Saccharomyces cerevisiae S288C: one gene and its partners. Changing the gene in region 1 together with any one later gene gives a genetic interaction. Each region holds a gene or a part of one and is shown in the gene's direction. Other genes may lie near its edges. The genes, in order: RTT10, TRM1, LOS1 and SCS7.

What was found.
Region 2: mutations in RTT10 (region 1) and TRM1 together harm fitness more than expected from each alone (negative genetic interaction), as found in Saccharomyces cerevisiae (5 studies listed by BioGRID, with this or other methods).
Region 3: mutations in RTT10 (region 1) and LOS1 together harm fitness more than expected from each alone (negative genetic interaction), as found in Saccharomyces cerevisiae (2 studies listed by BioGRID).
Region 4: mutations in RTT10 (region 1) and SCS7 together harm fitness more than expected from each alone (negative genetic interaction), as found in Saccharomyces cerevisiae (2 studies listed by BioGRID).

Annotation. Positions count from the first base shown.
Region 1 is NC_001148.4:196,501-205,491, reverse strand, and holds RTT10 (tRNA (34-2'-O)-methyltransferase regulator RTT10), read left to right. Parts: upstream 1-2,955; coding exon 2,956-5,997; downstream 5,998-8,991. Other genes in the region: TCO89 (Tco89p), read right to left, coding at 1-244; CTI6 (Cti6p), read right to left, coding at 551-2,071; mitochondrial 54S ribosomal protein bL36m RTC6, read right to left, coding at 6,116-6,397; MRN1 (Mrn1p), read left to right, coding at 7,704-8,991.
Region 2 is NC_001136.10:689,030-696,794, reverse strand, and holds TRM1 (tRNA (guanine26-N2)-dimethyltransferase), read left to right. Parts: upstream 1-3,533; coding exon 3,534-5,246; downstream 5,247-7,765. Other genes in the region: serine/threonine protein kinase KIN1, read right to left, coding at 1-2,095; DPB4 (DNA polymerase epsilon noncatalytic subunit), read right to left, coding at 2,620-3,210; COX26 (Cox26p), read right to left, coding at 5,581-5,781; VBA4 (Vba4p), read right to left, coding at 6,262-7,765. UniProt on the Saccharomyces cerevisiae protein: Dimethylates a single guanine residue at position 26 of most tRNAs using S-adenosyl-L-methionine as donor of the methyl groups. Required for the modification of both mitochondrial and cytoplasmic tRNAs.
Region 3 is NC_001143.9:48,443-57,736, forward strand, and holds LOS1 (Ran GTPase-binding protein LOS1), read left to right. Parts: upstream 1-1,608; coding exon 1,609-4,911; downstream 4,912-9,294. Other genes in the region: ER membrane complex subunit EMC3, read left to right, coding at 1-513; ADD66 (Add66p), read right to left, coding at 564-1,367; EAP1 (Eap1p), read left to right, coding at 5,262-7,160; phosphatidylinositol kinase-related protein kinase TOR2, read right to left, coding at 7,493-9,294. UniProt on the Saccharomyces cerevisiae protein: tRNA nucleus export receptor which facilitates tRNA translocation across the nuclear pore complex. Preferentially interacts with tRNAs with mature 5'- and 3'-termini and does not distinguish between intron-containing and spliced tRNAs.
Region 4 is NC_001145.3:807,528-814,706, reverse strand, and holds SCS7 (fatty acid alpha-hydroxylase), read left to right. Parts: upstream 1-3,929; coding exon 3,930-5,084; downstream 5,085-7,179. Other genes in the region: RCE1 (CAAX prenyl protease), read left to right, coding at 1-343; ZDS1 (Zds1p), read left to right, coding at 727-3,474; YMR272W-B (uncharacterized protein), read right to left, coding at 3,511-3,618; orotate phosphoribosyltransferase URA10, read left to right, coding at 7,159-7,179. UniProt on the Saccharomyces cerevisiae protein: Ceramide hydroxylase involved in the hydroxylation of sphingolipid-associated very long chain fatty acids. Postulated to hydroxylate the very long chain fatty acid of dihydroceramides and phytoceramides at C-2.

The DNA of each region.
Region 1 (8,991 bases):
TTCGCTTTCTGAAAAGTGCATCAGAACTCTTGCATTTCTGAGAAACGTTGTGCTTATTAAAATAATCATTATCCAGGGTGCCATCATGTGTTAAAACTCTACGCAAACCTTTGAAGCTTGCGTTACTCTTTGCTCTCGACCTAGTCGAAAACTGTCTAAATGGCTTTGACTGGTGTGATACTGTTGACGCATTAAGAGATGTTACATCAGTGTCTGACTTCAAAGTCCTTCCTCGATGAACCATAATTATAGTTACTCAGTAAGGATATATGATATATCCCAATATCTATGTTTACCTGACCCGTAAATCGATAGAATGTGCTAGTCCATTAGATGTTTGGATTCCTTAATCATCGTGCCAGCCAAATCGCTATACCATCCGCAACTAGCTATCCTTGCGGTTACCCGTACAAGAGTAAGCTCGGTTGATAAAAACAACGTTGAATTAGTCGTTTTTATATCCATATAGATGTATATATATGTATAGATGTGTTTGTTCGCCTCATTACAGTTATACTTTGGTTGAGAATAATATTGCAGTGTTTTGCGTTTATTGAATGGCATTAGTGTTATTTGAATATTTTTTCTCCCATAGTAGTAACTCTCTAGTCAGGTCGTCCATCATTGATAGACTTTCATTATAACCGTTGTAAATCGTATCAACTTTTTCTACGAAATGCTGGTTTTCCACGAATCGTACAAATTCCTCTCGATCAGACTGATCTTCACTCAATTCCCATTGAGTTCTAGAAATGAACTCCAAAATAGCGGATACCCTTCTTCTCATTTCGTTTAATGAGGTCCTTTGAGGGGGTAATCTGGGCTTTACTGGTTTGTCGGTACCTATATCAGCACTCCTTCTATTTTGGTTGGTGTCTGAACTTGTATTGCTTCGACGAGTTCTGTTGCCCTTTCTTGCTGGTTTGGAAACTCTTTTAGAACCCCTCGAACTAGCTTTCCTTGAATCATCCTCAGAAGAAGATATTGAGGTTAGGGGTAGGATGGGTTCATCAGTTTTCTCAGTGTCTTGCGCCGAACCCGTAGAAGATTCCTTTTCTTGACTAGCTTCTTTTTCCACATCATTTGTTTTTTCCATTGATTGCTCTTTCGATGGTCGTAGGCTTTCTTTCATATCATCATTTGTTACCGAGTCCGGTTTGCCTTCCGTTAGCATAACATCCGTTTGTAATCGAGTGGTGCCGTTGTGATTGTCGGTATCACCTTGGTATATATCAGCATCATTTTCATAACTTTCAGGATCTTCTTGATGTGATGTCCTCCTGCTTTCTTTCAAGGCTTTTTCAAGCATTCTTTGATATTGCTTTTCTTCTCTTGCCATGAAAGTTGCCCTTTTTCTATCCAGTAGCTTCTTATCACTATCTCCAGGATCCAGTGAATACTGATCGGTAGAAGCATCATCCATTGAATTCCTCCTCCTCCTTCTACTTGACCTCGTGTTGCCGTCCTTGGCTAATGCTACAGCCGAAGCTTCATCTTCTACTTCATCTTCTTCGTCGCCGATATCGTCGACGTTATCATCGGTATTGCTGGTATTTCTGGGACTTTTCTCTGCTTCATTGGCGGCATGAGATTTACTTGCAGCTGCACTTCGTGCCTTCCTTCTTGATTGCCTCCTTTTCTCTTGCACAGGTTTATAGATTGACCTTGCTTCGCCAGTATCTGTGGTAAAGAGCTGATGTAACTCCGGTCTGCATTGCTCGCACCAATATTTATCAGGTGCGTTGTCTTGAGTAATACTCACACAATAACCGTGCTGCCAGGAACTGCACTGCTCACATTGAATGAAAAATCCGGAGTCATCTGGAGTATCGAGCTCTCCACAGATACAGCGAGTTTCGCCTTCCTCTTCCTCGACTTCCCCCTCTCCACCTTCCATAGGAACATCTTCTTGTTTTACACTTTCTTCCTGTACACTTCCAATCGCCGCCGTTGTTGTCGCTGTTGATGTTGTTGATATAATGTCTGTGGACCCACTAGCAATGACTTCCGCTTTCTCCATATCTTCACTACCCACAACAGGGCCTTTAGGCACTATTGCTGTCGATTCCATTACTCTTCTCTATACTCCTATATGTTTATGCTATCTTTTAGTAAGGTTACGCAAAGTAAACTTCGAAGGAAACAAACTATTGATGGTCTCTGTTGTGAACTTTGTACCCCTGTAAATACCCAGTTACATAAAATTCATATACGAAAACCAACAAGAACAAAAAAGAAAAAACTAATCAACAAAACGTTATTTTTTGATCATGCAGTGAAAAGCCACCAATAGAAAATTGAAAATAGAAAATGCAGCTGATTGTGCTGTGCGGTTTACCTAGTTTACCCATAGCGGAGAAATTTTTCAAAACTAATTGATTACGTTAAAGCCTGTCTGCGACGTGCTCCGTCCTATTTCCGCAAGATGATGAGGGTAATGCCCTTTATAACTGCTCAAAATAAAAAATAACCGCCGAGGTCTTTTTAATTATCAAGGTTATAAGAAGTGCCAGAAGTGGGTGAACTTAACTCAATAAAAAAATATTAGTGACGAACATCTATCAAAAATTGAAAATTGAAGGTACTGCTCAGAGAAACTGAGTCTGGTCTTGCCTACATCTTTAAGAGGAATTTGTTCTGGTGTATTATTTATACAGCCGATAACATTGATGATACTCTCAGGGTCATTTTCACGTAGTCGTGCTTTGGTGAGTTGTATACTACCCTACGTACTTTTCACCGCTTATGTTTTACACTGGGGTCTGAATGATAGATTTAAGCCTAGCATACACATCGGCGTCTCACAAAAAACGACGCTGCTGAAAAAAAAAATGTAAGAAAAAAAAAGTGGAAAAATATGAGCATGAAAAAACTTCTGCTAGCGGACCTCATCGTTATTTAGCTTCTCATTCCCGCCAATTGAAGTTGCTCATTGAAGAAGAATAAGTGATTAAAATGAAGGACTTGTCTCATTATGGTCCTGCGCTATGTGTTAAATTTTACAATGATTATGTTCTAGCTGGTTATGGGCCTTTCATCCATGTCTATGACTATCATTCGGCTACGTTGATTAACAAATGTAGGCTATTTCACTACAATAAAGTTCATGGACTTAGCCTTTCTAGTGAAGGGAAAATTTTGGCCTATGGTGCAAGATCAGTAACAATAGTGGAACTTGAAGACGTTTTAAAGAAAGAGTCATTGGTGGATTTCGAAAGGATTAACTCAGATTGGATTACCGGTGCTACATTCAGCTTTGACAACTTGCAAATATATTTGTTAACATGTTATAATAAAGTGCTAATTTGTGATTTAAATTGTGAAGTTCTTTTTAGGAAGTCTCTTGGGGGAGAAAGATCTATTCTATATTCCGGTATAATTAAAGTTTTCGGTCCGGATAAAGTATATGTTAACGCTGGTACTGTAATGGGCGGTGTTATCATTTGGGACCTGTTCTCGGAGACAAAAATTCATAACTTACTGGGTCATGAAGGTTCTATCTTTTATGTTAATTTAAGCAACAACGGAAGATATGTTGCCAGTTGCTCTGACGACAGATCAATTAGACTGTGGGATTTAGAAACTGGCAAGCAGCTGTCTGTTGGCTGGAGCCATACGGCAAGAATATGGAATTTAATGTTTTTTGATAATGATTCAAAACTAATAAGTGTTTCTGAAGATTGCACATGCCGTGTATGGAACATTATCGAATCACGAGAAAACGTTGCCGAATTATCCATATCTAACGTTTACGAAGTACATTTAATCAAGAGTATATGGGGCGTTGATGTGAAAGACGACGAAATGATAGCTGTAACCTCCGGGAATGATGGTAGGTTAAAGCTGATTGATCTTCTTCAACTGAAGAGACACGGCGATGAAGAAACATCGTTCAGTCTAGATGATATCGCAAAGCAATGTGGCGATATTTTCGAAAAGAATGAAAGTATCAAGGGATTTCAATGGTTTTCATTCGGTGTAATTGCTATCACTTCATTGGGTAAAATACTTAAATACAGTGATGTCACGAAACAATGGAAGTTGTTACTAACAAATGAAAAATTCAACTCGTATCCAATTACAAATGGGATTCAAACGCAAAATATCGCTGTCTTTTCCAATAATAAAAGTGACATCCTTCTTATCAAATTTAGCAAAGATAGCGCTGACATAATTGAGACCGAAGAATTCCATTTAGATGAGCTTTCTAAGACAAATAACTGTCTCGTTACAGAATACGATGATGACTCCTTCCTATTGACTTTACAATCCCCAAATCCTCGAGAGAAGTTTGTATGTTTGGAAATAAGCCTTCAGAACTTAAAAATTAAAAGCAAGCACTGTTTCAATAAGCCGGAAAATTTTTCTTCCTCATGTTTGACCTCCTTCCGAAATCATATTTTAGTCGGCTCACGTTTTAGTACATTAGTAATCTACAACTTACTTGATGAGAGCGAGGAGCCCTTCATAATTAGGAGATTAAGTCCCGGAGACACTACAACCTCAATCGAATTTGTAGAAGATAAAGACAACTCTGCGGTCTTCTCAGTAACAAATAGGGATGGCTATTATGTATTTATTGAGTTGACGAAAAACAGTTTGGAAGAGGGTCCCTACCGACTAAGTTATAAGGTCTTGCATTCTAATAAGATGATGAAAGGTTTCTTGGAGGGCGCTTTCTTTAATTCAAAAGGTGAATACATTACTTATGGGTTCAAGTCCAGCTTGTTTTATCTCTACAATGAAACCAACTGTTATGAACTAGCTAGTGAAGTTTGTGGTGGTTCCCATCGTCTGTGGAATCTCGCAAAAATTACTGATGGCCACGTATTAATGTATATTAAGGCATCCCGATTTCATTTAAGGAAAATTTACAACTCCATTGTGCCTGAAACTTTAGAAAATGGTGTACACGGAAGGGAAATCAGAGATATTTCAATCTGTCCTGTTTCAAATACCAACACGAATGACAATTTTAAGGATGGGCATATATTCTGTACTGCATCTGAAGATACTACAATTAAGCTGGGATATTTTAACAATAGAACAGGGAAGGTGCAGAATTTTTGGACACAAAGAAAGCATGTGTCTGGATTACAACGTTGTCAGTTTATAAATCACAAACTAATGATATCATCTTCAGCTAGAGAGGAGTTATTCTTATGGGAATTGAACGATAAGTATAATAAACGACCATATATGACCATACGACAAGCTTTACCTGTATCCACAAATAATTCTGATCTAAGGATCATGGATTTTGATGTCAAATTTATATCACAGTCAGGTGACTTCTTATTAGTTACTGTTTATTCAGATTCAACAATAAAGATTTGGCACTATAGGGAAAATCAGAATAAGTTTGACCTGATCATGCAAGGTCGTTATAAGACGTGCTGTTTATTCAACGTCGTATTTATTGCACTGAAAGAAGAGCTCCTTGTTGTCATTTCACCAACTGATGGACATTTAGTGGTTTATAATATAACCGAGTACGTACCATTTTCCGTTGATCCGATTTCTGGCGATTTGGTTGACCACAAACTGGACGCTACTATCTCAAATCTTCCCGCACCTGTAGCGCAGTTGCCGGTACATCAATCTGGTGTCAAGTCCCTAGACTATGTTGCTAATGCTACAAGAACTTCCGCCACAATTTTGACAGGGGGTGATGATAATGGTTTAGGGTTAAGCAACCTGAAATTAGATGACTCGAATAAAGTAACGTTAAAAACAAGTGACTTTATCGCTGCAGCAGCTTCTTCGACAATAACGTCCGGTATGTTGATTAATGGTGGCAAAGAAGTCATTACCACATCGGTTGATCAAGTAATACGCGCTTGGGAAATTACCGCAGGCAAGCTTTCACTGGTAGATAAAAAGCGTACCACTGTGGCGGATACAGGATCATTAGAAATCATTTCCAATGATGAAGATGCTGATTCTGAGAAAACGTTACTGATCGGAGGTGTTGGTTTATCAATTTGGAAAAAATGATACAAAAAATTAACATATACATAAAAGAATATTATAGATATGTATTATTTACAGATTTTAGAAAATGAGAATATTTTGTAAACACCCGAACGGAGAACAGCGAAGAGATTTACATCTTTCAGCCTTGACGCTGTTTGTGTTTTTTATTCGACTTGCAATAAATGTATACTCTTCCCTTTCTTCTTACCAAGTAGCAATCACTGCAGAACTTTTTGACAGATGTTCTGACCTTGAAACCTCTGTTAAAAACCAAAGGTCTGTTAGCTGCAACAAGAGCTGGTTGCGGAGCTGCAACAGATAGGAGGCTGGGCACTGTGCAGGCCCTTGTTATCGTTATGGGGGACGGTTTCATGTGCAAAAACATCCTTGGCATAGTTAGGCGGAGAGTCTGTAAAAACATTCTTTGAAATCCTTTCGCTTGCTGAAAAATTCTGAGATTTGTACTATGAACCGTAGCCGTTATATGCGAGTAGATCGAGGCTATATCCCAATGCCAATAGTTCCACGATTCATTCCCTTTCTATTTGGAATAAGTGCGAAGACAGAATTTTTAATTTCGGCTTGGGTGAGAGAAAAAAAAAATCATAGTTTCGTTACGCAGATAGTAAATAACTAATACATAGATAAAAGCACCACCTTCTACCGGACCGTCGTCATTCTCGGCAACACCGTTGAAGTGTTTATGACTACGCTTTTTTTATCCTCACTTTTGGAATGCCCTTGAACTATGGACCTTTCACTCCCTATTGACAAATTCAAAAGACAAAAAAGGGAAACACTTGGAAAAGGTAACTTGACGTCCAATAATACACGCCGAATGAGGGCAGACTATGTCTTTCTTCCAACTGCCGTGGCAGTTGCGTACTTATCATTCTTATGTTCTTACAGTGGGATTCCACCATCATGGTAACCCGGTGCTTTTTTTCCTTGTGGTACGATTTTGGCTATGAGAAGAGAAAGAAAAGACAGAAAAAAACACGATCTTGAAATTAACTTTACCAGAAAGTGGATCTTGTGGTTGTCCGAAAGTCTACAAAGAGATTCAGTCACAACCGCAATCATACTCCATCCCTTCGTCACAGCAATAAATTAATCAGTTTCTTTGCCTTTGGTGGAAAGTAAAAAAAACTAAACTTGGTTCAGCACAGCGCTATATCTACGAGAACACCGTTGCCCACTCTTATACATTATTTTCACAGAGTCACATTCCCCACTGAATTCTCTCCTTAAGCTTCCTTTCTCTGTTTATTTTACCAATTTACAATTTCTAGAACTGATAGTCTCTGTACCTTTCCTTTAGATACACATACGCTTCATTTCTTTTGAACATTGTATTCTTCTATTTTCTTCGTTCTTCCGTTATTTGATATTTGCCCCTTTTTAAGTCTTCTGACTCACCTGTTCTGCTTTACCAATTAGGCTCCTTAATTGGTTCAACTGTCCATTCCAGCCTCATATTTTTCACTTTATCTTTCTTCATCATTTTTTTTGTCTAATTAATATCCGTTTCCAACTTCAATTCTCAAGGACACTCTTTTTTTTTTTGAAAAAAAATATCATATTTTTCTTTGCTAATACTATTTTATTTTTTCAATTCTGGTCGTTGAAGCCTTTTCTATTCAGATATTTCCTAAAGAAAAACAAAGAACTATCGTTGTATTTTTTTTTTTCTTCACCATCACATACTACTTCAATTGCATTAAAACATGGTGGTTTCTTATAACAATAATAATAACAATAACAATAACAATAACAATAATAATATCAGTAATAATAATAACAATAATAACATGTTCCCTCCTTTTCCTTCTTCCGATGACTTTGCAATGTATCAACAGTCCAGTTCTTCCGGCCCTTACCAAGAAACTTATGCGAGTGGCCCTCAAAACTTTGGCGATGCTGTGTATCCTATGAATGGTAATTTTACTCTTTTACCATCCGACTTTACACGAGAGCCTAATGATTCGTTCTTTTACGAGAATGACGGAATTTTTGATTATCAGCGTATTCAACAGCAACCAACTCAATTCCAGACAAAGCAGCGAAATGATTCACAACAGCAACGGTTTTCACAGGAACAAAATTTCGAAATTGATAACGAAGTTGTCCACAATAACAATCGTTATTATGAATATGAAAGGTCATCAAATGAAGTCTCTCCTTTTGATGATGAGAATCCAAATGTGTTATCTGATGGCATGTCACCCACTATTATGGCAACTGCAACTGCAGTAACCAACGCAAATGCGCCTTTACCAGTTAATGCACAAGCCAATAATCCTTTGAATTTTACATCGGCCCCAAGTAGAACTGTTTATTTGGGTAATGTGCCACCAAACCTAAGCGTTAAAGAGTTATTGGATCATGTCAGAAGTGGTGTCGTTGAAGACGTCAAAATCATACCTGAAAAGATGTGTGCATTCGTTTCGTTTATAGATGAAAGTGCTGCACTATTGTTCCATTCAGACGCAATTTTAAAGCGCTTGAACATCGGTGACAGGGATATCAAAATCGGGTGGGGGAAACCAACTCGAATTGATCCTATTGTAGCGGCTAGAATCTCTACGGACGGTGCCACAAGAAATGTATACATTGGCCGTATGACGATTGAAGGCGAAGAATCACATTTATCTGAGGAGCAATTGAGGGTTGATTTAGAAGAATATGGTGAAATTGACTGTATAAAAATTATCAAGGAAAAGGGAATCGCCTTTATTCATTTTGCGTCTATTTTAAATGCTATAAAAGTGGTTACGAATCTGCCAATTAGAAATCCATACTATCAAAATAAGAGAATATTTTATGGAAAGGACAGATGTGCATTTATTACCAAAACTCAACAACATAATGCGGCTCAATTTCTAGGTGTACAACCTGGTATGGAACATATGATAGAGTTTTCTGATCGTGAATTTATATCTAACGCTTTGTTACAACAGTCTGCTGCTGCTGCTGCAATTGCTACATCTGCGGGCGGCCCCAATAACTTGGGTA
Region 2 (7,765 bases), on another chromosome or scaffold:
TGACAGGCTCATTCATGGTATAATTTGAATCATAACTCGGTTTAGCAAAACCAGGGACAAAGTCTGAAACAGCGCGAGAATGCGTCTTTTGCACAGGTTTATTGATACTATTATTACTATTAACAGATGTCTGTTCAATGGTCTTTTTACGGCGCTGTGATAATTTTCTAAATATATTCCCAAACTTCGCCTTTTCTGAGGGATCGCCAGTAGTTGAAGGTACCCTAAATTGTTGATAGTCATTTCCCTGAGGAGTTGGAGAGAGAGCATATTCCATTTCACGGCGTTGATTATCAGAACTTTTTCTACTCGTTGGTGACGTATGCGCTTGTTCTGGCATTGCTAACCTCGGTGGAATTAAGACATGTAAGGGGGGCTCTGTGCCATCGCTATTCTTTGGAGTGAATGGCACAGAGGTATCTTTTGTCGCCAACGTGGCTTCTGGCTCTGATTTCATAGCGGTTGTATTGACCTCTACGTCCCTTTGCTTCACACTTTCCGGTATTTCAGAAAGCTTTTCTATATTTTCGTGGCTCTGTCGCTGTTGTTGATTCCGAATTTTCGCATGTTTCCTATCAAGCATCTCAGAAGTCAAGTAATATATGGAAATCATTGGATGATATGCCCGAGTTGGGTCTTCAAAACTCTCTGTTATGTTTGGCGCGTTTCCGTTATCACTGGATTCTGCGTTCATTTTGGCCGCTAAAGTCCAGTATTGTCTAGAGAGAAGAACGTAAGTAGGATCTGTGATTATACTGACCAAAACACTTCTTGTTTCCTCTACATCGTCAATAAATTCTAAACGGTACATTTCTTTTAAGACATTTATATCAAGCATTTCGATAGTTAGGGGAACTCTTTTCGGTAAGTAAGAAGGAGGGGGACCATTGAACCCTCTTACCATCCAGTGGTGCTCCACAACCTGTTTAAGTGTGGCTCTTCTTTTCGGATCTACTACCAACATTTTGGATAACAGTGATATTACTTCGATAGATAAATGTTGGGGATATTCAACCTTACCTTGCTTGATCTTTTCATGTAAAACGCTCGAATTTTCGTCGTCAAATGGCACTTTACCGCATACCAAAACAAATAAAACTACACCAAATGACCAGACATCTACTTCAGGTCCTGTATAAGGATTCGCTTTTAACAGCTCGGGAGCGGCAAAATACAGAGAGCCACAGAATGTATGAAGCTGCTTCCTAGAATCATAAATATTTGAAAGTCCAAAATCAATTATCTTGATTTCACTGGAATCTGAAATCATTATATTTTCTATCTTCAAATCTCTATGGACGATGTTGTTAGCATGCAAATATATTAAGGCGCTCGCGATACCCCTAGCAAACTTTCTCGCTTGGTGTTCTCGTATTGACCCATGTTGGATGATATAGTCTAACAGCTGACCACCTGAAACATATTCAAACAACATATAGAAATGATTTGACAACGTGCACATCTCAAAAAGTCTACATATGTGTGGATGATATAAGATTTGTCCCAAGGACGCTTCTCGAATAGTTCTTTTGTCCCTAGATATTTCCTTCTCTAATTTCTTCTGTCTCTCCAAAACATCTTGTTCATTTTTGGGTGGTGGCAGCATTTGTTCTTTATGTAGGAAAGCCTTTGTAGCACGGTTTACAATTTTTACTGCACAAACCTCATTAGTGTAACGATGTTTTGCCAGCTTCACTTTACCCATAGAACCTGCACCAACTGTTTCAACAAACTCCCAATCTCCTAACGATTTTCGATGAAACTGCTTAGGCATGCCCTGAGAAGACGAAACTCGACTCTGGCTGGTAGTATTTGGCTTTGGTGCATTCTCTCTCGATTTACCTTCAAGTTCTACTTGTCTCTCCTTTTGCTCTGCTTGATGTGAGTTACCATTATTGGCGTATTTGATATCCGCCGGGGGCATTAGCGGTGTGTTCTGCTGCTGCTGCTGCTGTGGACTTTTTCCCATCATTCTCAGCGTAGCGGGCGCCATAGTGCTTGGTTGTGTATGCATGCTGTTGCTTTCACTATTGCCATCATCCTGCTGGTTACCTCTGCCCATTGAGAAGGCAGTATTTACGTGATAATCATCCATATTCTACGTGAGCAAAAAGTAATCGTAATAAACTGTACCTGTTTAAAAGAAGTTGAAAAAAAAAATGCGTAATAGCCCAAAATCCCTAGTATATTCAGTTGCTCTAATCGGAGCAAAGATGTTTGAATTTTACTAATCAATAGTTGGAAAATGAAAGACCGATAGGGTAGGGGGGCGAAGGGTGACAACTAATTATGTTAACTAGCCTAGGTTACCGTATGTCCTTATAATAACGAAGTAAATCTCAAAAAATTTCAAATCACAAAGTGGCTCTAACTAAACCTGCTTGATATCGTATCTCGCTAATACACTTCCTCAACGCCATAATTTCTTGTTAACGTTCCACCAATATCAACTTCTTGTCCCCTTTCTTTCCTTCCGCATTGGCGCCGCGTTGGGTTCCCCGGCTTGCAAATAACGACGATGAGTATAGCTTATTATGTATGTAGGTAATAAAGGCAAGTTACATACTACGATCCTGTGGGAGTGGTGGCAAGCACTACTAGACAGTTTCCATAGCGGGGTTACGTTTGCTCAAGGTTTTGAACTCTAGTTTCTACATCTTGGCTCTCCGTTTTCTGTTTCTTTTCGGAGGACTCTTCTACGTCCTGTAATGCATCGCCTTGTTCTTCTATTTCGTCATGCTCTTTAACCTTTTCCACGGGCACATTCTCCTTATCTTCACCCATATCTATATCGCCATCAGCATCTACTTCACCACTATCTAGTTTTTCCTTCTTCCTCTGTTCAACAGCAGCTTGGTATTCATCTAGTTTATCTCTAACCGGACCCTTCAATGCCGAGTGTCCTATATGGTCCAAAGCACTCAGAACATCATCTACACTGCAGCTTTTTTTATCTTGACTCTTTGCAATTTCCCTTGCAAACAGGAGCAAGTGGTTAACAAATACTGTAGCACCACGCTGTAACGCTAGTGATGCGTCTTTATTTATCAGCAGCTTTTTGCCGCTTTGCTGTGGCACTTCGCGTGCCAAATTCACAATAGTGCTTTTAGGAAATAACAGGTCCTGAATCGTAATGTTCTCTTGTTCTTTAATATACGAAGTAGTGGGGTAATTCCCTTGGGCGTCTTTTCTCCAACCTTTTGGTGGCATCGTGTGTAAAAATATATGGTCTGATATAAATAAGCAATGAAAGGCTTGACTTCTATTTCAAAGTATTAAATAATTAAAAAAATCCTTCCTTTCACCTAAAACCTCTAGGTAATATTCTGTGGCTTCTGCTATTGTGCCGCTATGAATAACAATTTTAAGCTCTGATGATCGAATCTGGTTTTTAACGTTATTCCAATTTGAGCCTTTCTTTATTCGTCCAAAGGGATAAAGCATTATTTTTTTTTCATCGCATTCAATGCTCATCGCAAAGTTACAGATCCTGAGCAGTCATAAGTTGATACCTTTCCTCTTACAATGTAGATATGGAAGGTTTCTTCAGGATACCCCTCAAGCGGGCAAATTTACACGGAATGTTGAAGGCTGCTATATCCAAAATTAAAGCGAATTTTACCGCGTATGGTGCACCAAGAATCAATATTGAGGATTTCAATATAGTCAAGGAAGGAAAAGCAGAAATTCTTTTCCCTAAAAAGGAAACTGTTTTCTATAATCCCATCCAACAATTTAATAGAGATCTAAGTGTTACATGCATCAAGGCGTGGGACAACCTATATGGTGAGGAATGTGGCCAAAAGAGAAATAATAAAAAAAGTAAGAAGAAAAGGTGCGCGGAAACTAACGATGATTCTTCCAAGCGTCAAAAAATGGGAAACGGGTCACCAAAAGAAGCCGTTGGTAATTCTAATCGAAACGAACCTTATATAAATATTTTGGAAGCATTGTCAGCCACTGGGTTAAGAGCCATTAGGTATGCTCATGAAATTCCCCATGTGAGGGAAGTTATTGCTAACGATTTACTTCCAGAGGCTGTCGAATCTATAAAACGAAACGTTGAATATAATAGTGTCGAAAACATTGTCAAGCCAAACCTTGATGATGCTAATGTCTTAATGTACCGTAACAAAGCGACGAATAATAAGTTTCACGTCATCGACTTGGATCCTTACGGTACCGTTACACCTTTTGTAGATGCGGCTATTCAGAGTATTGAGGAGGGTGGTCTAATGCTGGTAACTTGCACTGATTTATCCGTTTTGGCCGGTAACGGATACCCAGAAAAGTGTTTTGCCTTATATGGTGGTGCAAATATGGTTTCTCATGAATCAACTCACGAAAGTGCGCTGAGACTAGTATTGAACTTACTAAAGCAAACTGCCGCGAAATACAAGAAAACTGTGGAACCGCTTTTGTCGTTGAGCATTGACTTTTACGTCAGAGTTTTTGTCAAAGTCAAAACAAGCCCGATTGAAGTCAAAAACGTTATGTCAAGTACTATGACTACTTACCATTGTTCCCGTTGCGGCTCTTACCACAATCAACCTCTGGGCAGAATTTCTCAACGCGAAGGTAGGAACAACAAAACATTCACCAAATACTCGGTTGCGCAAGGGCCTCCGGTTGATACTAAATGTAAGTTCTGCGAGGGGACATACCATTTAGCTGGTCCAATGTATGCAGGACCTCTACACAACAAGGAGTTCATCGAGGAGGTGTTGAGAATTAATAAAGAAGAGCATCGTGACCAGGATGATACATATGGAACACGTAAAAGAATTGAAGGTATGCTATCTCTAGCTAAGAATGAATTATCCGATTCGCCATTCTATTTCAGTCCTAACCATATTGCATCGGTAATAAAATTACAAGTACCTCCCTTGAAAAAAGTAGTCGCAGGCCTAGGTTCCCTAGGCTTTGAATGTTCATTGACACATGCCCAACCATCGTCCCTAAAGACTAACGCTCCATGGGATGCAATCTGGTATGTGATGCAGAAATGTGATGATGAGAAGAAAGACTTAAGCAAAATGAATCCAAATACTACGGGCTATAAGATTTTATCGGCAATGCCAGGATGGTTGAGTGGCACTGTCAAATCAGAGTATGACTCAAAGCTGTCGTTCGCACCAAATGAACAAAGCGGTAATATTGAAAAACTAAGGAAGCTAAAAATTGTGAGATATCAGGAAAATCCAACAAAGAATTGGGGCCCAAAAGCCCGTCCCAACACTTCATAAGAATTTTGATTAGTGTTAGAGCTAAAACGTAAGAAACTAAGGATCCGCCCGAGAACGGTATAATGGACGGAAAAGAATGCTTCTCTTTTGTAATATAGATGTTTAAAGTAATCAGGAGGGCAGTATGTATGTGTAAAAAATAAATAAATATATATATATATTTGAGGAACCAGATCTCAAATGAAAAATATAAGCCAGTATATTTTTTGCATTGTAGCCACTGTTGTAACCTCTGGGCATATAAATAATAATGTATAGCGCCTAGTATCAAACTAAACTCGCCATGTTGGTAGTGTTACACTCATTTTTAGCAAATTTTTTTTTCTTATCAAACTCATGCTTTTCTTGCCTTACTAAAGAAGTATACAGCACCAGGCCAACCTAAACAAACGCTCAATACTGCACTCCATTGAAAGATTTCTGGAATGAGCCTTCTACCTTCCGTAATTACCCACGATTCACCTATTCTACCGCCTGTATACCTCTTGATTGGGGCAGCACGAGCGGAAGATCTCAAAACTTGGCTGAAGAACATTTTACCTATTTAGAATTAAAAGAGTCTGTAAATATCTGTGATATGGTCAAGTGTCTAAAAAGTACAGACAAGGAAACGAAATAAAAAAAGAATTGTTTCGTCATGCAAGAGGAAAGTATGAAAGAAAAATGACTGGCTTATATATTAAGTGTCATTTAGTCGGAGAAAACACTATCATAAACAAAACCATGTTTTCTTTGGTTGCCTACTGATAGAGGGGTTTCCGCTTGCTGCATTTTCAGCAAGTAAAAATCAAGCTATTCTGGCCATTCATTTCTTGCACGGATACCATATCCCCTTGTTCACTCTTCTATTCTTCCCCCGCCCCATACGATCATTTTTCAGATCCCGCCTTTGTGCGGTCACCACAATGATTGAAGTTCCCTGCATCTTTATCTAAGCGACAAAAGTATTATCGGGTTTAAGAAAAAAGAAAAAAAGTATTTGTATTATTTAAAGTATACATTTTCATCTACCGGTTCAAGATAGTGACAAACAATTTTGACTACGACAATGGATTCTGTTGAAAATGAATATTGCTACGACAGTAATCGTAAAAAAAAGGGTAGAGAGTTTGAATACGTTTCGACATGCTTGTAAATAACACTCAATCAAAGTTTGAAAAACAAACTTTGGGGCTGATTCGTGTACCCAATCTGAAGATTCCGTAGCGTGCTTGATAATTTTCAAAAGGTCCTTTTTAAGATAACCTTGCTTGCTAAATGGCATCACCTTCTCATGCATAAGTTTTATTAATGTTTTGTGGAAGACATAACCACCCAAGGAAATACCAACCGTCCCCCCCACGGCACCGAAACAATATACGATAGAACCACTGATAGGTGACTTTCTTTGTTCATGGTACTCATGATAAAGATTTGACAGCAAGGTCAATATCATAGAGGAGCCCAAAAATGGCAGAGACAAACATATATATTGCTTCCATACTGGTAAATTCAAACTTACCCCCATAAGTGCCACATATAGTAACAGGGTGGCTCCGCTTAAAACAAATTTTAGCAAAAAATTCTGTCCTTTCGACTTCCAAAAATAAGAAACACTAAAGTAACCCAGTACAATGGAGAAAAAGAATGGGGACAATCTCTCTGCAAGTTGTAAAGTGCTTAAATTTAAAACAATGATGAAGTACGTTGTACCGAATGGGATGATGCACATTAATGCTGCAAAGCAAAATGAAATTCCTATCATTGTCCATATTAAACGCTTGTCACCTTGTAAGGACATTGAAATTACAGAGTTCATGTAAGTATCGCTTGTCTCTATCAAGAAAAATAAAATGCCACAAACGATAATTACAGAAAATAGTAGCGCTTGAATCATCGTATTATTCTTTAACCCTGTTAAATCCAATGAGGTCACTTGAACGAAACAAAGTAGGAATAGCGTAAGTGTCAATATTTCGTATAAATCAGGACTTAATAGAGTATTCTTGAATCTTTTCCATAATGTAGGCGTTGGGCGTCCATATAAAGTGCTCTTAACAGAATACATATCTGCCAGCATAATCGAGGCATTCACAAGGCAAAAAGGAACTGGTATTAAGAAGGCATTTCTCCACCCGCTACCATGAGAAGAATCAAACAAGTTCATCATAAAGGGCCCAATTACCACACCCATAGCAAATGTTATCATAGAGGCACTCAATGAGTACCGACTGTCGTTCTTTTGAGAAAACCGATTCATAATAGTACTTTTGAGCGCTATTAAGGAACCGCCCCCAAATCCTGTGACACAACGGGCAAAGATAAACGTCCAAAAATGGGCAGAACTCCAAGATAAATAGCCACCAAGGATAAAACTGAATTGAGCAATACACAACAACAATTTTACACTGGATATTAAAGATAGCTTCAAAAATACCAGTTGCCCAATAGCATTACTCAATAGGTATGCTGAGATGACTAAGGATAATCTCCATAACTCATGAAACTCCGAAGCAATTTTGGACGCAATTACTAGGATT
Region 3 (9,294 bases), on another chromosome or scaffold:
GAGGAAAGGCACCTAGCCAAGGCCAAGCAGCAGGATGGTTCGCAAGCTGGAGAGGTTCCTAATCCCTTCAACGATCCAAGTATGTCTAATGCTATGATGAACATGGCTAAGGGTAATATGGCCAGTTTCATCCCTCAAACTATTATTATGTGGTGGGTGAACCATTTTTTTGCTGGATTTATTCTTATGCAACTACCTTTCCCTTTGACTGCCAAATTCAAAGAGATGTTACAGACCGGTATTATCTGTCAGGACCTGGATGTGAGATGGGTTAGCTCCATTTCATGGTATTTTATTTCTGTGCTCGGGCTAAATCCAGTCTACAACCTGATTGGGTTAAACGATCAGGACATGGGTATTCAGGCCGGGATAGGTGGCCCTCAGGGCCCCCAAGGCCCTCCACAATCACAGGTTGACAAAGCAATGCATGCGATGGCTAACGATTTGACTATCATTCAGCATGAGACTTGTCTTGATAACGTTGAGCAAAGGGTTTTGAAACAGTATATGTAAGTTCGTGGCTATATATGCACTTGTATAGAAAACAGATATACTTCTCGGTTTCAATTGTATAAATCTACAAATTTATCTCTTGCATCCGCCATTCCGTATGCACCTTGCCATGATATAGGCCTGACAAACTTTACAATTGGTGGCGCGTTTTTGATAACTTTTTGAGAGATTATCCATTGTAAGAACTGTTGAGAATCTAATGAGTTGTCCCCCTCATTGGCCAAACAACTACAGTACTTAATGCTGCGGAGGGCTTTAGGCCTCTGCGACGCATTCAGTATTTGGAAAAGTATTTTGAAGATCGGCTGATCAACGGATATCTTGTCTTGGAAACTGGTAGGAGTAAAATGTAACCAGTTATTGACCATCGACTCTTGATCGTTTAGATGGAGGTTCGATAAAAGCTCAGCTTCATCGTCGAAATAAAACTCTCCGAGCGAATATACCTCCTGTGGACGTACAATCACACCATTTTCATCCTCCATTGCATATAGAGAGTCCCAAATGCATATTTCCGATATATTATACTTGCTCAAGAACGGCAAGATGATCTCTACGATGAAATTATTCAGATAGTTAACGGACACGAGTGGTGTTCGTTGCTGTATGGCAAAAAGTCCTCGCTTCTTATTGTAGAAAACTTCCAAAGCGCTGCTATACTTCATATCAGCGTCTTTATATAGCGAGTCGCTACCATCCTCTGGTCTGTCTAATGGTCCCACAAATTCCACTAGGTATTTCGAATCTAACGCCTCCAAATATTCCCATTCATTTGCTTGTGAATTCAGCAGCCAGTCAATACTCAATTGTGGTATATTCCCTACGCTTACTAATGGCAACACCAGGCAGCTCATCGTATGTTCCTTTGGGTTTTGTGCTATTCTTTCCTGAAGTTTTAATTTAATTTCCTTATTTTAGTGTAGGTGGCTTTTTTTTTAGCAGGTTACTCATTGTGGGATCATTTTCAGGCTCAAAGCGAAAAATTGAAAAATTAGCTAACAAAAAAAAACTAAAATTTTTTCAAATTCCATCAGTTAGTTTGAGAAGTTGTCGGTAAGCAACCTATAGAACAAGTGTTTCCAGTCAAATCGAGGAATGCTAGAACGGATTCAGCAGCTGGTAAATGCAGTGAACGATCCACGCTCAGATGTGGCCACTAAGAGACAAGCCATCGAGCTGCTAAATGGGATTAAATCATCAGAGAATGCATTGGAAATCTTTATATCATTGGTCATCAACGAGAATTCAAATGATTTGTTGAAGTTTTACGGACTGTCCACATTGATAGAATTGATGACGGAGGGCGTGAACGCTAATCCAAATGGTTTGAATCTGGTAAAGTTTGAAATAACCAAATGGCTCAAATTTCAAGTTTTGGGCAATAAGCAAACTAAGCTGCCTGACTTTTTAATGAATAAGATTTCTGAAGTGCTGACTACTTTGTTTATGTTAATGTACAGTGATTGTAATGGAAACCAGTGGAACAGTTTTTTTGACGATCTGATGAGTCTATTCCAAGTGGATTCGGCTATTTCCAATACGAGCCCGTCTACCGATGGTAACATTCTTCTAGGTCTTGAATTTTTTAACAAGCTCTGTTTGATGATTAATTCGGAGATTGCTGACCAAAGCTTTATTAGGTCTAAGGAATCTCAGTTAAAAAATAACAATATAAAAGATTGGATGCGTGATAACGATATCATGAAATTGAGTAATGTGTGGTTTCAGTGTTTAAAACTGGACGAACAAATTGTGTCACAATGTCCCGGATTGATCAATTCTACCTTGGATTGTATTGGGAGTTTTATCTCATGGATCGATATTAATTTAATTATTGATGCAAATAATTATTATCTGCAATTAATCTATAAATTTTTAAATCTTAAAGAAACCAAAATTTCATGTTATAATTGCATACTGGCCATCATCTCTAAAAAAATGAAACCAATGGACAAACTGGCTTTTCTGAATATGATCAATTTGACCAACGAATTGACTTACTATCATCAAGCCATATCAATGAATCCCCAAATTATTACATTTGATAATTTAGAAGTCTGGGAAAGTTTGACCAAGTTGATTACTTCCTTTGGCATAGAATTTACTATCATTATTGAACAAGTCAACGATGATCAAAAATTGGATACATTATACAAACAATCGGTCATTTCAAATGTTGATTCCATATTATTGGAGAAAATAATACCAATACTTTTGGAATTTATGAATAATGAGTTTGATTCAATAACAGCAAAAACCTTCCCATTCTGGTCAAATTATCTGGCTTTCTTGAAAAAATATAAAGCATCTTCACCAAATTTTGTACCATTGCATAAGGATTTTCTAGATAATTTCCAACAAATTTGCTTTAAAAGAATGAAGTTTTCAGACGACGAGGTCACACAGGATGATTTTGAGGAATTCAACGAAACCGTAAGATTTAAATTAAAAAATTTCCAGGAGATCATCGTGGTAATTGACCCAAGTCTGTTTTTAAATAACATTTCTCAAGAAATTTCAGCAAACCTAATGAATTGTAAAAACGAAAGCTGGCAAATTTTCGAGCTAACTATTTATCAAATCTTCAATTTAAGTGAATGTACCAAGAACAACTATTTCGGTTTGAACAAGAATGAAATTATGACCTCACAACCTTCGCTAACTTTAGTACGATTTTTAAATGAATTGTTAATGATGAAGGATTTCTTATTAGCCATTGATAACGAACAAATCCAAATACTATTCATGGAATTAATTGTGAAAAACTACAATTTCATATTTTCAACTAGTGCTAACACAGCAAATGCTACTGATGATGATGAAAAGTATCTATTAATATTGAATATTTTCATGAGCTCATTTGCTATGTTCAATAAAAGAGAAAACGTCAGACTAAGGTCATGGTATTTATTTACAAGATTCTTGAAGTTGACAAGAATCAATTTGAAAAAAATCCTCTTTGCCAACAAAAATTTGGTTAATGAAATAACTAATAAGATAAGTCCTCTACTTCACATAAAAGTAACATCTATCAACGCCCAAGGGACGGATGACAATGATACAATTTTTGATAATCAGTTGTACATATTTGAGGGTATTGGGTTTATAATCACATTGAATAATAGCAGTCAGGAGCTCACTGCTGCCACTGCCAACACCCCCATCGATTACGATATATTGGACCAGATATTAACTCCGCTATTTACACAATTAGAGGGTTGTATTACCCAAGGAGCTTCGCCAGTTGTGATTCTGGAATGTCATCACATTCTTATGGCTATTGGTACTTTAGCGAGAGGTTTGCACATTGGTCTCGTCCCTGAGAATCAGGTCAACAATATGGTTGTCAACAAAAAATTAATCAATGACTCTTTAATCCATAAATTCTCTAATATAGCTGAGGTTATATTAGTAACATTCTCTTTTTTCAATAAGTTCGAAAATATCCGCGATGCATCTAGGTTTACCTTTGCCAGGTTAATTCCAATTTTAAGTAATAAAATTTTACCATTTATCAATAAATTGATTGAATTGATCTTATCGTCCACAGATTTAAAATCATGGGAGATGATTGATTTTCTTGGGTTCTTATCTCAACTGATTCATATGTTTCACACGGACACAGACTGTTATCAGCTGTTTAACCAGTTACTTACTCCGCTTATCAACAAAGTCCATTCTATTATCGAAGAGATTGATGAACAACACGACCAACAATCAAGCAGTAACAAACCTATAGACACTGCAGTCACAGCCACCTCCGTAAATAAGAATATCGTGGTCACCGATTCGTATAGAGATAAAATACTATTGAAAAAGGCTTACTGCACATTTTTACAGTCATTTACTAATAATTCCGTCACTTCGATACTATTGTCAGATATAAACAGAGCAATCCTGCCGGTCATATTAAACGATTTGGTCACCTATACGCCGCAAGAGATCCAGGAAACATCAATGATGAAAGTGTCACTCAATGTATTGTGCAATTTTATCAAATGTTTTGGGAATGGGACCTGCTTGGATAATGACGACATCAATAAAGATCCCAACCTTAAAATAGATGGTCTCAACGAATACTTCATCATGAAATGTGTCCCAATAATCTTTGAAATTCCGTTCAATCCAATATACAAGTTCAATATCAAAGAAGGGAATTTCAAAACAATGGCATATGATTTGGCAAGATTACTGAGGGAGCTATTTATCGTCAGCAGCAACCCCACCACAAATGAGAATGAATGTGTAAAATATTTAACTCAGATCTACCTTCCACAAATCCAATTACCACAGGAATTGACGATTCAGTTGGTTAATATGTTAACCACAATGGGTCAAAAGCAATTCGAAAAATGGTTTGTAGATAATTTCATTTCTGTTTTAAAGCAAGGTCAATAGCTTTCAGGCGCAGAAAACCTGAAAATAAAAAAAAAATGCAAAACGAGAGTAAAAGTTGTAATTATATTTATACTAATATTTAAATTGGTAATATGTAATTAGACTTATCATTCACTTTGGTTTAGCAGCTAGTCATGTAATGGCACTAAAAGTGCTTCTTTATCTATTATTTATACGTGACATACCATTACTTCTATGTATTACGTAAAGAATGACAAACGTTTAGTTTTTTTAATTTCAAAGAAATCGTTGGAAGGTTCAAAAAGGATCAGGTGAGATATTAGAGTATATGAATGTTTCAGTCTCTAAGCTACACAAAGAACTAGCATAGTAGGACTTTAACCCATACAATGGAACTCAACGACCCTTCAATTATATCAAGCAGCCAGTTTTCAGGTGAATTGTCTGACAGCGATACTGCAGCCGCTACTCACAAATCGCAACAAGCCATCTCAAATTTATTCCAAAAATTAGCCAAAAAGGGCAGAGAAGAGAAGCCAATCGGTAGCGTAGAATCTTCAACTGATAGCTCTAACATTTCTGTTGCTACGAGCGGTAACAATAAAGAAAGCAATAAAAAAAAAAATAAGAAAACGGCCATGCTAAATTTCAGCAGTTTGACGGACCCTATAACGAACTACAAACCAATGGATCTGCAATACAAGACATATGCATACTCCATGAATGAACTTTATCATTTGAAACCATCTTTGGCAAGTGCTTCGTACGAAGAAGACCCACTTATTTCGGAACTTGTGAGGAGTTTACCCAAAAGAAAGTTTTGGCGATTGCGCATGGGACCTCCAGATCAAAAGCATGCTAATAACCATCATTTTAATGGGAACAATGGTGGAGGCAGTTGGAAGGCTGGTTACAAGAATGGGAAAAACGATGAGAGAAGAATGAGTAGAACCAAAAACATGCAGGGAGGCAAACGAAGATCTCAACAAGATGATGAAGAAAAAAAGATTGACCAAGAAATGCTGGAGATGGACAAGAATCTTCAATTAGGAGGTGACGTCGGCCATTCAATTGCAGATTTTGAAGATTGGAAGGCAAAGATGAAAGAATTAGAATTGAAAAAACTTTCAAAATCTAAAGGAATCAGTAACTCTACCGCAATTGCTCCCAGGGAAAGCGCCTCTCATGAAACACCCACCGATTTAAGACCGGTCATTCCAAGGGGCCCTAGTTCAATAACAGATTTTTTGAATTTAAAGAGGCAAGATAAGAAGGAAGAATCTTCACAACAAACACCTGGTATTCCTGTTGGACAGCCAAGCCTATCCAAAACCAGTATAGAACAAGTTAACGAATTAGAAACTAATTCAGATTTGGGTAAAAGTTCATCATCTCGGTTTTCATCATTTTTCAATAAATCTGCCACTTCGTTGCCTTCATTAGATAATAATAATCAAGTGCCATCGTCAAACGTGTCTGTAGTAAACAACGATGGCAACAGTACACCTCATCAAAGTGGTTCAAGACTGATGTCGTTTTTCAAAGAATCTAGATCGAGCACTCCAAATGCAGAATCGCAGTTGTTATCAGCCTCAGACAAAGATAATGGAAAGATGCAGACTCTTCCGCAATTCCAGCAGCAACCGCAACAAATGCAACCAATGGCATTTACCCAGCATCCTCCTAATAACAACGCATTTTTCAATGGGCTATTGAATAAAGGTAAAAGTGAAACTAGTACTCCTCCTCCTCCACCCCCAGGACTAATTGCTCATCAGGGTCCACAATTTCCTGTGATGGGTGTACCACCAAATTTTCCACAACGCATGATGCCACCGCCACCAGGTCTCGTTCAATTCCAGAAAGATTCTAAAGATGTAAATAAGAAGGAAGACAGGCAATTAAGGCAAAATAAAAATCCAAACGGAACAAGAAATAGCAAGGGAAAACAAGAGGAAACAGCAACGCCAGATCTGCCTCAACAGCAATACATGCCACCACCCCCACCTCCAGGGTTTTTTCCAATGCATCCTAACTTTCCTAACGGCCCAATGCCACCATTACCACAGGGGTTCCCAATCCCACCAAATGGTATGTTACCGGTAACAGGACAACAGCCACAGCCACCTTATCCAAATATGATGCTACAAGGAAATTTCCCCCCTAATTTCCAGCAAGGTTTTGGTAGTAACTCCCCTATGCCAATTCCATCTATTATTAATGCCAATGGCAAAAATGTTACAAACCAGTTACCACCAGGATTAAACTCTAAAAAGAATATAAAATGAGATGCGTAACGAGCGAGTACTTGACAGGAAACGACAAAAACACAGTGAACATACTATCTAAAAGCATGTTCTTTTCCTTTTCATTTTTCATCTTTATTATCTAGAGTTTGTATATAACATGTATCCTATATTATCTTATCCTATCATCATCACTTAACTTGTTATAATTCTCCCATATACTTATGTTTTCGCCTTTGATATTTACTAGTCGAAGGAACTTTTTTCGCAGTTAGTAACGTCACGCTCGGAACTAAACATTAATGAATGAGATGCATTTTTATACAACACTTTTACAGGCTATATACAACTAAGTGATTTTCAATACATTAAAACTACCAGAATGGACACCAACCGATATAATGTTGGCATAGGTTTTCCACTGATGTGGCTTGTTGGATTAGTTTATCCACTTGTTCTGGAACGTCCAAGTCATTAAACCTTCTTATATCGTTCCCCGTTAATTTGTCAGTAATGCGCTTCAATACCAACATGGCCCTTGCATTTCGAATGGCATTCTTGTGCTCGTTTTCCACCCTTTGAACTTCTTCTTCGGTAATAGCCCCATTACTCAATAGCTCATTGGCATTCATCACGGGAAGTTGAATGCCCGTTTCTTCCTCAATTTTCTTTGTTGGTAAGTCAAAACCCCAATTGATCAAAGGATCGAAAGCAAAAGCTTCAAGGATTGCCATTAATGAACCCTTGTTATCTCTAAGTACCTTCATAACATTCTCACAAGTAATACGGAAGCTACCTTCAATTCCACTCACTTCCATTGCATATGTTAACATTCTAGTTAATCTAAAAGGTACTTTTTCGGGGAATTTTTCTCTTAATATAGCAGCCTCGAAACAATCACCAAAATCAATATGAATGACTTTCCCAGTGATTCTATCCAACATCAAATTACTAGGGTGGCGGTCACCTAACCCCAATATATAACCGGTCATGGACATCACGGCTAGCGATCGAGTGTAAGTAGTTCTACGCTCCAACCACGTTTCCGATGACCTACTCTTCAGCCATAACACCTTATAAAGATCTTGTCCCTCCGTATTATTTAGGGCGTAAGTGAAGACTTCTACTTTCTGCAACAACGTTAAATTGTCATAATCAGGTGCCATTTGTAACATGACCCAATGCTCAATGTTTAAAGGAATTTTTTTGGCTTCTCTATGCTCCCTAATTAATACATGGAACGTGTCACTATTCGGTACCCAACCCAGTAACCCAGACTTCGGAGATAATGGGATTGCTGGATATTGCTGGATATCTAGATGCCTTCTAAAGCACTCAGCGTCATTTTGCAAAAGCGTGTTAACTAGTCCGAATAATTGCATGACCAAGCTATCCTGTCTAATGTCTTCATGTCCTTTCAACACATACTTATAATCTTTACCATCACTACCCTTGATACAAAACTTTCTCGGTCTTTGTTTGGATGAGATTACTGAAAATACTGGCTCGAATTTAGATATTTTAACAATTGGTTTTCCACCACTTGCACGGGTCCCGGGGACAGCCAATTCCAAATCATGCGCAGATAGTAGTTTTGGCGACACATGTTGTAGTTCAAGAGTTTGTAATTGTGGCAACTGTTTACCAATTTTCCTGAAAACATTATAGTAAATGTCCCACGCTTGGTTTAAATTACTAACATCTTTAGATTTTTTGTAATTCATCAGCCATTCGTAAGCGTCATTCAAGTCCCTACCAAAAGAATTTTGGAACGATATTTCCCTCAAAGTTTCCGGTCCTCTCTTCAGCATTTCGTACAGAGGCTCTAAAGCAGCAAACATTTTTTCGGTATTATGTTCTCCAAAAAACTGCCTACTGGCGTCATCCAGACCCTCATACCATTGCTCATGCCAAAGCACCGCCATACGTATCAATTCGTGGCTGACAAGTTCAGCCTGGTCGACCAAAACTGGACTATGTATTCTCATCTTTTCTATGATGGACAAAGCTGCTTTCTGTCGTGAGAGAGATTCGGATTTAATCGCAACCATTAAGGGGTACACTAATGCCTGCGGATGAGCCTTACCTAGATCAGATAATAGGGAGAGTAATGACCTACTAACAATTTGATTGGGTTGATGAATTCTAGAAATTAACTGTGGCAACACTTCTAACC
Region 4 (7,179 bases), on another chromosome or scaffold:
ACAGGAAGGCTCCATGACAACTGTTTCCATTCTGCTGACAACATGCTTCCAAATTTTATACACAACACTTTTTGGAGGGTTAACCAAGTTTGTATTCGTAAGAACAGGCGGGAACCTATGGTGCTGCATAATCCTGCATGCCCTTTGCAATATCATGGGGTTTCCTGGTCCTTCAAGATTGAATTTACATTTCACAGTAGTAGACAAGAAAGCTGGACGCATTTCCAAATTGGTCTCAATCTGGAATAAGTGCTACTTCGCACTGCTGGTCCTTGGATTAATATCCCTGAAGGATACCTTACAAACTCTGGTAGGAACTCCTGGTTATAGAATAACCCTTTAGCCTTTTTTACGTACTTGTATACCGTTTAAAATTTCCTATGTACTATAACCTTTTTTCACTACTATTATGGAATTCTATCGAGCGACCGGGCTTTTGTTACGGAAGAGTGAAAAAATCGAGTTTTGGTGTTTTGGTGAAAGAATTTGGAGGACTATAAAGTACCTATACTTTGTATTACGGACTCAATAACAAGTCGTTCGTGTCAGTGGTATTGAAGTTGTCAGATCTAAGAGTAGAGAGAAGGTGGCATCTAATAGGTTTCGACGTTTTTCTTTTTTTAAGGTTTTTATTTGGTCTCCTAGAATTTAAGGTCTTAGTTAGTTTTGGTTTGTTTTGTGGGTTACATATTTTCAATTCAAAGGAGAATTTAGCTGTCTTTTATAATGTCCAATAGAGATAACGAGAGCATGCTGCGTACTACATCAAGCGATAAGGCGATCGCTAGTCAAAGGGATAAACGGAAGTCTGAAGTTTTGATTGCTGCACAGTCCCTTGACAATGAAATCCGCAGCGTAAAAAACCTAAAAAGATTGTCGATTGGGTCAATGGATTTACTTATTGATCCAGAATTAGATATAAAATTCGGTGGGGAATCTAGTGGGAGACGATCATGGTCTGGCACGACATCCAGTTCTGCGTCAATGCCAAGTGACACAACCACCGTTAATAACACACGATATAGCGATCCAACTCCGCTAGAGAACTTGCATGGGAGGGGTAACTCAGGGATAGAATCCTCCAATAAGACTAAACAAGGTAACTACTTAGGTATAAAAAAAGGTGTTCACTCTCCATCCAGGAAATTAAATGCTAACGTATTAAAGAAAAACTTATTATGGGTTCCCGCCAATCAACACCCTAACGTTAAGCCTGATAATTTCCTAGAGCTTGTACAAGATACTTTACAAAATATACAACTAAGCGACAATGGTGAAGATAATGATGGGAATAGCAATGAAAATAACGATATTGAGGATAATGGGGAGGATAAAGAATCACAATCATATGAAAATAAGGAGAACAACACTATCAACTTGAACAGGGGGCTGTCAAGGCATGGAAACGCGTCACTAATACGAAGGCCTTCAACATTGCGGAGGTCATATACAGAGTTTGATGATAACGAAGATGACGATAATAAGGGAGACAGTGCCTCTGAAACAGTAAATAAAGTCGAAGAAAGAATCTCCAAAATAAAAGAGAGACCAGTGTCGTTAAGAGATATAACTGAAGAACTGACAAAGATCTCAAATAGTGCAGGACTAACCGACAATGATGCCATTACATTAGCCAGAACTCTTAGTATGGCTGGTTCATATTCAGATAAAAAAGATCAACCACAACCGGAAGGGCATTATGATGAAGGAGATATTGGTTTTTCAACTTCACAAGCGAATACTTTGGATGATGGTGAATTTGCCTCCAATATGCCCATCAATAATACCATGACATGGCCTGAACGATCGTCACTGAGAAGGAGTAGATTCAACACTTATCGAATCAGGTCACAAGAGCAAGAAAAAGAAGTAGAACAAAGTGTGGATGAAATGAAAAACGACGACGAAGAACGTCTAAAATTGACCAAGAATACAATAAAGGTCGAAATAGATCCGCACAAATCCCCTTTTAGACAGCAAGATGAGGATTCTGAGAATATGAGTTCGCCTGGGTCAATTGGTGATTTTCAAGACATTTATAATCATTACAGACAGTCTAGTGGCGAGTGGGAACAAGAAATGGGAATAGAGAAAGAAGCCGAAGAGGTACCCGTCAAGGTTCGAAATGACACAGTAGAACAAGACTTAGAGTTAAGAGAGGGAACAACAGACATGGTAAAGCCAAGCGCAACGGATGACAACAAAGAAACGAAGCGACATCGTCGAAGAAACGGATGGACATGGTTGAACAATAAAATGAGCAGAGAAGACGATAACGAAGAAAACCAAGGGGACGATGAAAATGAAGAAAACGTGGATTCACAAAGAATGGAGCTCGACAATTCCAAAAAACATTATATTTCTCTATTTAATGGCGGTGAGAAGACGGAGGTGTCAAATAAAGAAGAAATGAACAATTCAAGTACTTCCACCGCCACATCACAGACAAGACAGAAAATCGAGAAAACTTTTGCGAACCTATTCAGAAGAAAGCCACACCACAAGCATGATGCATCATCATCACCCTCGTCGTCACCATCATCGTCACCATCAATACCAAATAACGATGCCGTGCACGTTCGCGTGAGGAAAAGCAAAAAGCTTGGTAACAAAAGTGGAAGGGAGCCGGTTGAACCCATTGTGTTGCGCAATCGCCCTCGTCCTCACCGTCACCATCACAGCCGTCATGGTTCCCAAAAAATAAGCGTAAAAACCCTTAAAGATTCTCAGCCGCAGCAGCAGATACCATTACAACCACAATTGGAAGGCGCAATAGAGATAGAAAAGAAAGAGGAAAGCGATTCCGAGAGCTTGCCCCAACTACAGCCGGCCGTTAGTGTAAGTAGTACCAAAAGTAACTCTAGAGACAGAGAAGAAGAGGAGGCAAAGAAAAAGAACAAGAAGAGGAGCAATACGACAGAAATTTCCAACCAACAACACTCCAAACACGTCCAAAAGGAGAATACCGATGAGCAAAAAGCTCAACTACAAGCTCCAGCTCAAGAACAAGTCCAAACTTCAGTCCCAGTTCAAGCTTCAGCCCCAGTCCAAAATTCAGCCCCAGTCCAAACTTCAGCCCCAGTTGAAGCTTCAGCTCAAACTCAGGCTCCAGCGGCACCACCATTGAAACATACCTCCATATTGCCCCCAAGAAAGCTTACATTTGCAGACGTCAAAAAACCTGACAAACCAAACTCCCCGGTTCAATTCACAGACAGTGCCTTTGGGTTCCCACTGCCTTTGCTGACAGTGTCTACGGTTATCATGTTCGACCACCGTCTACCAATTAACGTCGAAAGGGCCATATACCGGCTGAGTCACTTGAAATTGAGCAATTCGAAGAGGGGACTGCGCGAGCAGGTATTACTAAGTAACTTCATGTATGCTTATCTGAACTTGGTTAATCACACTCTGTACATGGAGCAGGTAGCCCACGACAAAGAACAACAACAACAACAACAACAACAACCCTGAAAAGGCTTCAGCGCTGCATACATAGACATATACACATCACACGTACATACACGAAAAGATAGCTTTCATGCTCACAAAGCTACGTTCCCCACAGAATATTTCCCAGGACAACAGGGAAAGTTGGACAAACACCAAACTTCTCATAATACAATAGCCGAAAACAGTCTTGCTTTTGATAAAGAGAGCTTTCTGCGGCCGGAAGAAAATGTGCCTATTCCGCGGGGCCGTTCCGCGCAGAAACTACCGCACGACGTCGGAAATATAACGGGGTTTTGCGCGGATTTACTGACGTGTGACATCTTTTCGCAGTTAATTTTTTTTTCAATTTGGAACCGTATAAGAACAGAGGTATTAGATAGTAGAAGCTATTGTGTCTATTGTCTTTGATTAGTTTTTTTTTCTATTGTTATCGTGGCAGGCACTAAAAGCGGTGGTAAGCTAAAACTAGTACGAAGATGTCGACTAATACTTCCAAGACTTTGGAACTGTTTTCAAAAAAGACGGTACAAGAACACAATACTGCCAATGACTGCTGGGTCACTTATCAAAACAGAAAGATTTATGACGTGACCAGGTTTTTGAGCGAACACCCTGGTGGTGACGAGTCCATCTTGGACTATGCTGGTAAGGACATTACTGAGATCATGAAAGACTCAGATGTGCATGAACACAGCGACTCCGCGTATGAAATCCTTGAGGACGAATATTTGATTGGTTACTTGGCAACTGACGAAGAGGCAGCGAGATTGTTGACTAACAAGAACCATAAGGTTGAAGTGCAGTTGTCAGCTGACGGTACTGAGTTTGACTCCACTACTTTTGTAAAGGAGTTGCCCGCCGAGGAGAAACTAAGTATTGCTACGGACTACAGTAACGACTACAAAAAGCATAAATTTTTGGATCTGAACCGTCCTTTGCTGATGCAGATTCTGCGTAGTGATTTCAAGAAAGATTTTTACGTTGACCAAATCCATAGACCAAGACATTACGGTAAGGGGTCTGCCCCGCTATTTGGTAATTTCTTGGAACCATTAACTAAAACAGCTTGGTGGGTTGTTCCAGTTGCTTGGTTGCCTGTAGTTGTGTACCACATGGGTGTTGCTTTGAAGAACATGAACCAGCTATTTGCATGTTTCTTGTTCTGTGTCGGTGTCTTTGTTTGGACTTTGATTGAATACGGTCTTCACCGTTTCCTATTTCATTTCGATGATTGGTTACCTGAAAGTAACATCGCATTCGCCACACATTTTCTACTACATGGTTGCCATCATTACTTGCCCATGGACAAGTACCGTTTAGTTATGCCACCTACTCTGTTCGTCATCCTTTGTGCTCCATTTTACAAGTTGGTATTTGCTCTGCTGCCACTTTATTGGGCTTACGCTGGTTTTGCTGGCGGTCTTTTCGGTTATGTCTGTTATGACGAATGTCATTTCTTCTTGCACCACTCTAAATTGCCTCCCTTCATGCGTAAGTTGAAAAAATATCACCTGGAACATCATTATAAAAACTACCAACTGGGATTTGGCGTCACATCCTGGTTTTGGGACGAAGTTTTTGGCACCTACTTAGGCCCCGATGCCCCATTGTCCAAAATGAAATATGAATAATTATTGGTCAGCCTCGTCCAAAATTGTCAACCTAGGAAAAACAACATTACGAGCAATGAAATCTTGAGCAAAGTTCTTTTCTGCGACATATTTATTTCAAATCTTTATTTATATTATTATATGTAACTACGTATATATACATACACATGGAATGGAATCATAGATGAAATCGATGAACAAGCACGTTATTTCTTAAACGAATATCCAATCGATGACGACTATACGAAAAAGCGGCCTCAAAAAAGAACCGAATTGACAGGTACATTTTTCTTTCACAGATCAGGTTGGCAAAAAAATACTAACCGTATCCTGTGTTACTGTCGTTAGAACAGGAATCAAGATGAGCACAGTGAAGTTATCTGATAGTCCCTAGACTCTCATTGACTTTTTGTAATATTAGGACACAGAATATACTAAGGGTTCTTCTCGAGAATAAATGAACACATAAGCAAATCAGAAATTCTACATACTATAAGAGTACCTCATACCTAATCATTTCTTAATCCATTCCGTTATCAGTAATTGCATTCGAGGTTCCATTAAACTGGTGCCGACATTTATATAGTTATATTGGTCCAATGATCTTATCATCCTCCACACCGTATACAACTATATCTTAGTAAACAACGGCTAGTAAGTGAAACGATGGTCCATTTTAGGCACGAAGAATAAAGTAAAATCTGTATCTGCGTTGCGCAAATCATCAATTGCATTTATGTTGGAACGAGAGTAATTAATAGTGACATGAGTTGCTATGGTAACAATCTAATGCTTACATCGTATATTAATGTACACCTCGTATACGTTTAAGTGTGATTGCACCTATTGCAGAAGGAATGTTAAACGAGAAGCTCAGACAATACTGAAGCTGTGTTAAAGACCTATTAGTTGAACATGTTATGGTAGGTACATATATGAGGAATATGAGTCGTCACATAAATGTATAGTAACTACCGGAATCACTATTATATTGGTCATGATTAATATGACCAATCGGCGTGTGTTTTATATACCTCTCTTATTTAGTATAAGAAGATCAGTAATTATTTCTTCATTAATACTATTTTTTACCTCTAATTATCAACAATTTACATAGCCCAAAGTCATGAGGAGAGCTTCTACTATAAACCTCACTCACAATTCTTTCTTTAGTCAGACGTAGAAACCTAAGATTTGTTAGTATATACGGTTTTCCGTACCAGTACAAGATCCATTGCTTGCGATATTGTTAAAATAGGGACCATCTTTCTTAAAAAGGTTCCATAAAACCGGAAGTTTTAGTGTACACTAACAACAGAAGAAAAAGGTCCTATAGTGTAGTGGTTATCACTTTCGGTTCTGATCCGAACAACCCCAGTTCGAATCCGGGTGGGACCTTCCCTTCATTTTTCGTATTTTACGAAATTTAAACCATCATTTTTTTTTTTTGAACCAATGCGAGAAAAAAATAAAAAGAGAAAGGTAAGAAAAAGAAACCAACCTCTATACAGATACAATCGCTCATCTCGATATACTTATTTTTACATACCAGAGATATCGAAGAAGTTACTCAATTATTTGACAAGTGCTCATCATTATGTCATTTGAAGTTTTGCGTGTGACAGACAAGTCCTAATAGGATATCCTTTAGATAAACCATTGGGGCCCCTTATATGAGGTTTATACACACACATATATATGTATACATATGGCTAAATTGCCTTCTGAGAGCCTGATAGTTTTTTTAGCACTTTATTCTTTCACTTGTATTTTTTTAGACATTTCACGTATTCGGCTAATGGTATGGCACTTTCTCACGTGCCTTTCAGACTATGTAATATAAACTGTTCTAACCTGCTCTACACCTGACTCACATGACAGCATTTCCTTTCAGAATCACATAACATTTTTTGGTTTTAATTATCATATGCATTTCAAGGGAGTCATACATAACCTTTCGGGAAAGGCCCCTTCGCTTCCTAATCTAGGGTAAAAGGCCATCACAGGCTCTTTTATATAGATTAAGAACTAAGGAAGTGTCACGCAAAATAGTCGAGACCTAGAGCCATCAAGAATAATAAAACATAATCCAATAATGTCTGCATCTACTACAAGT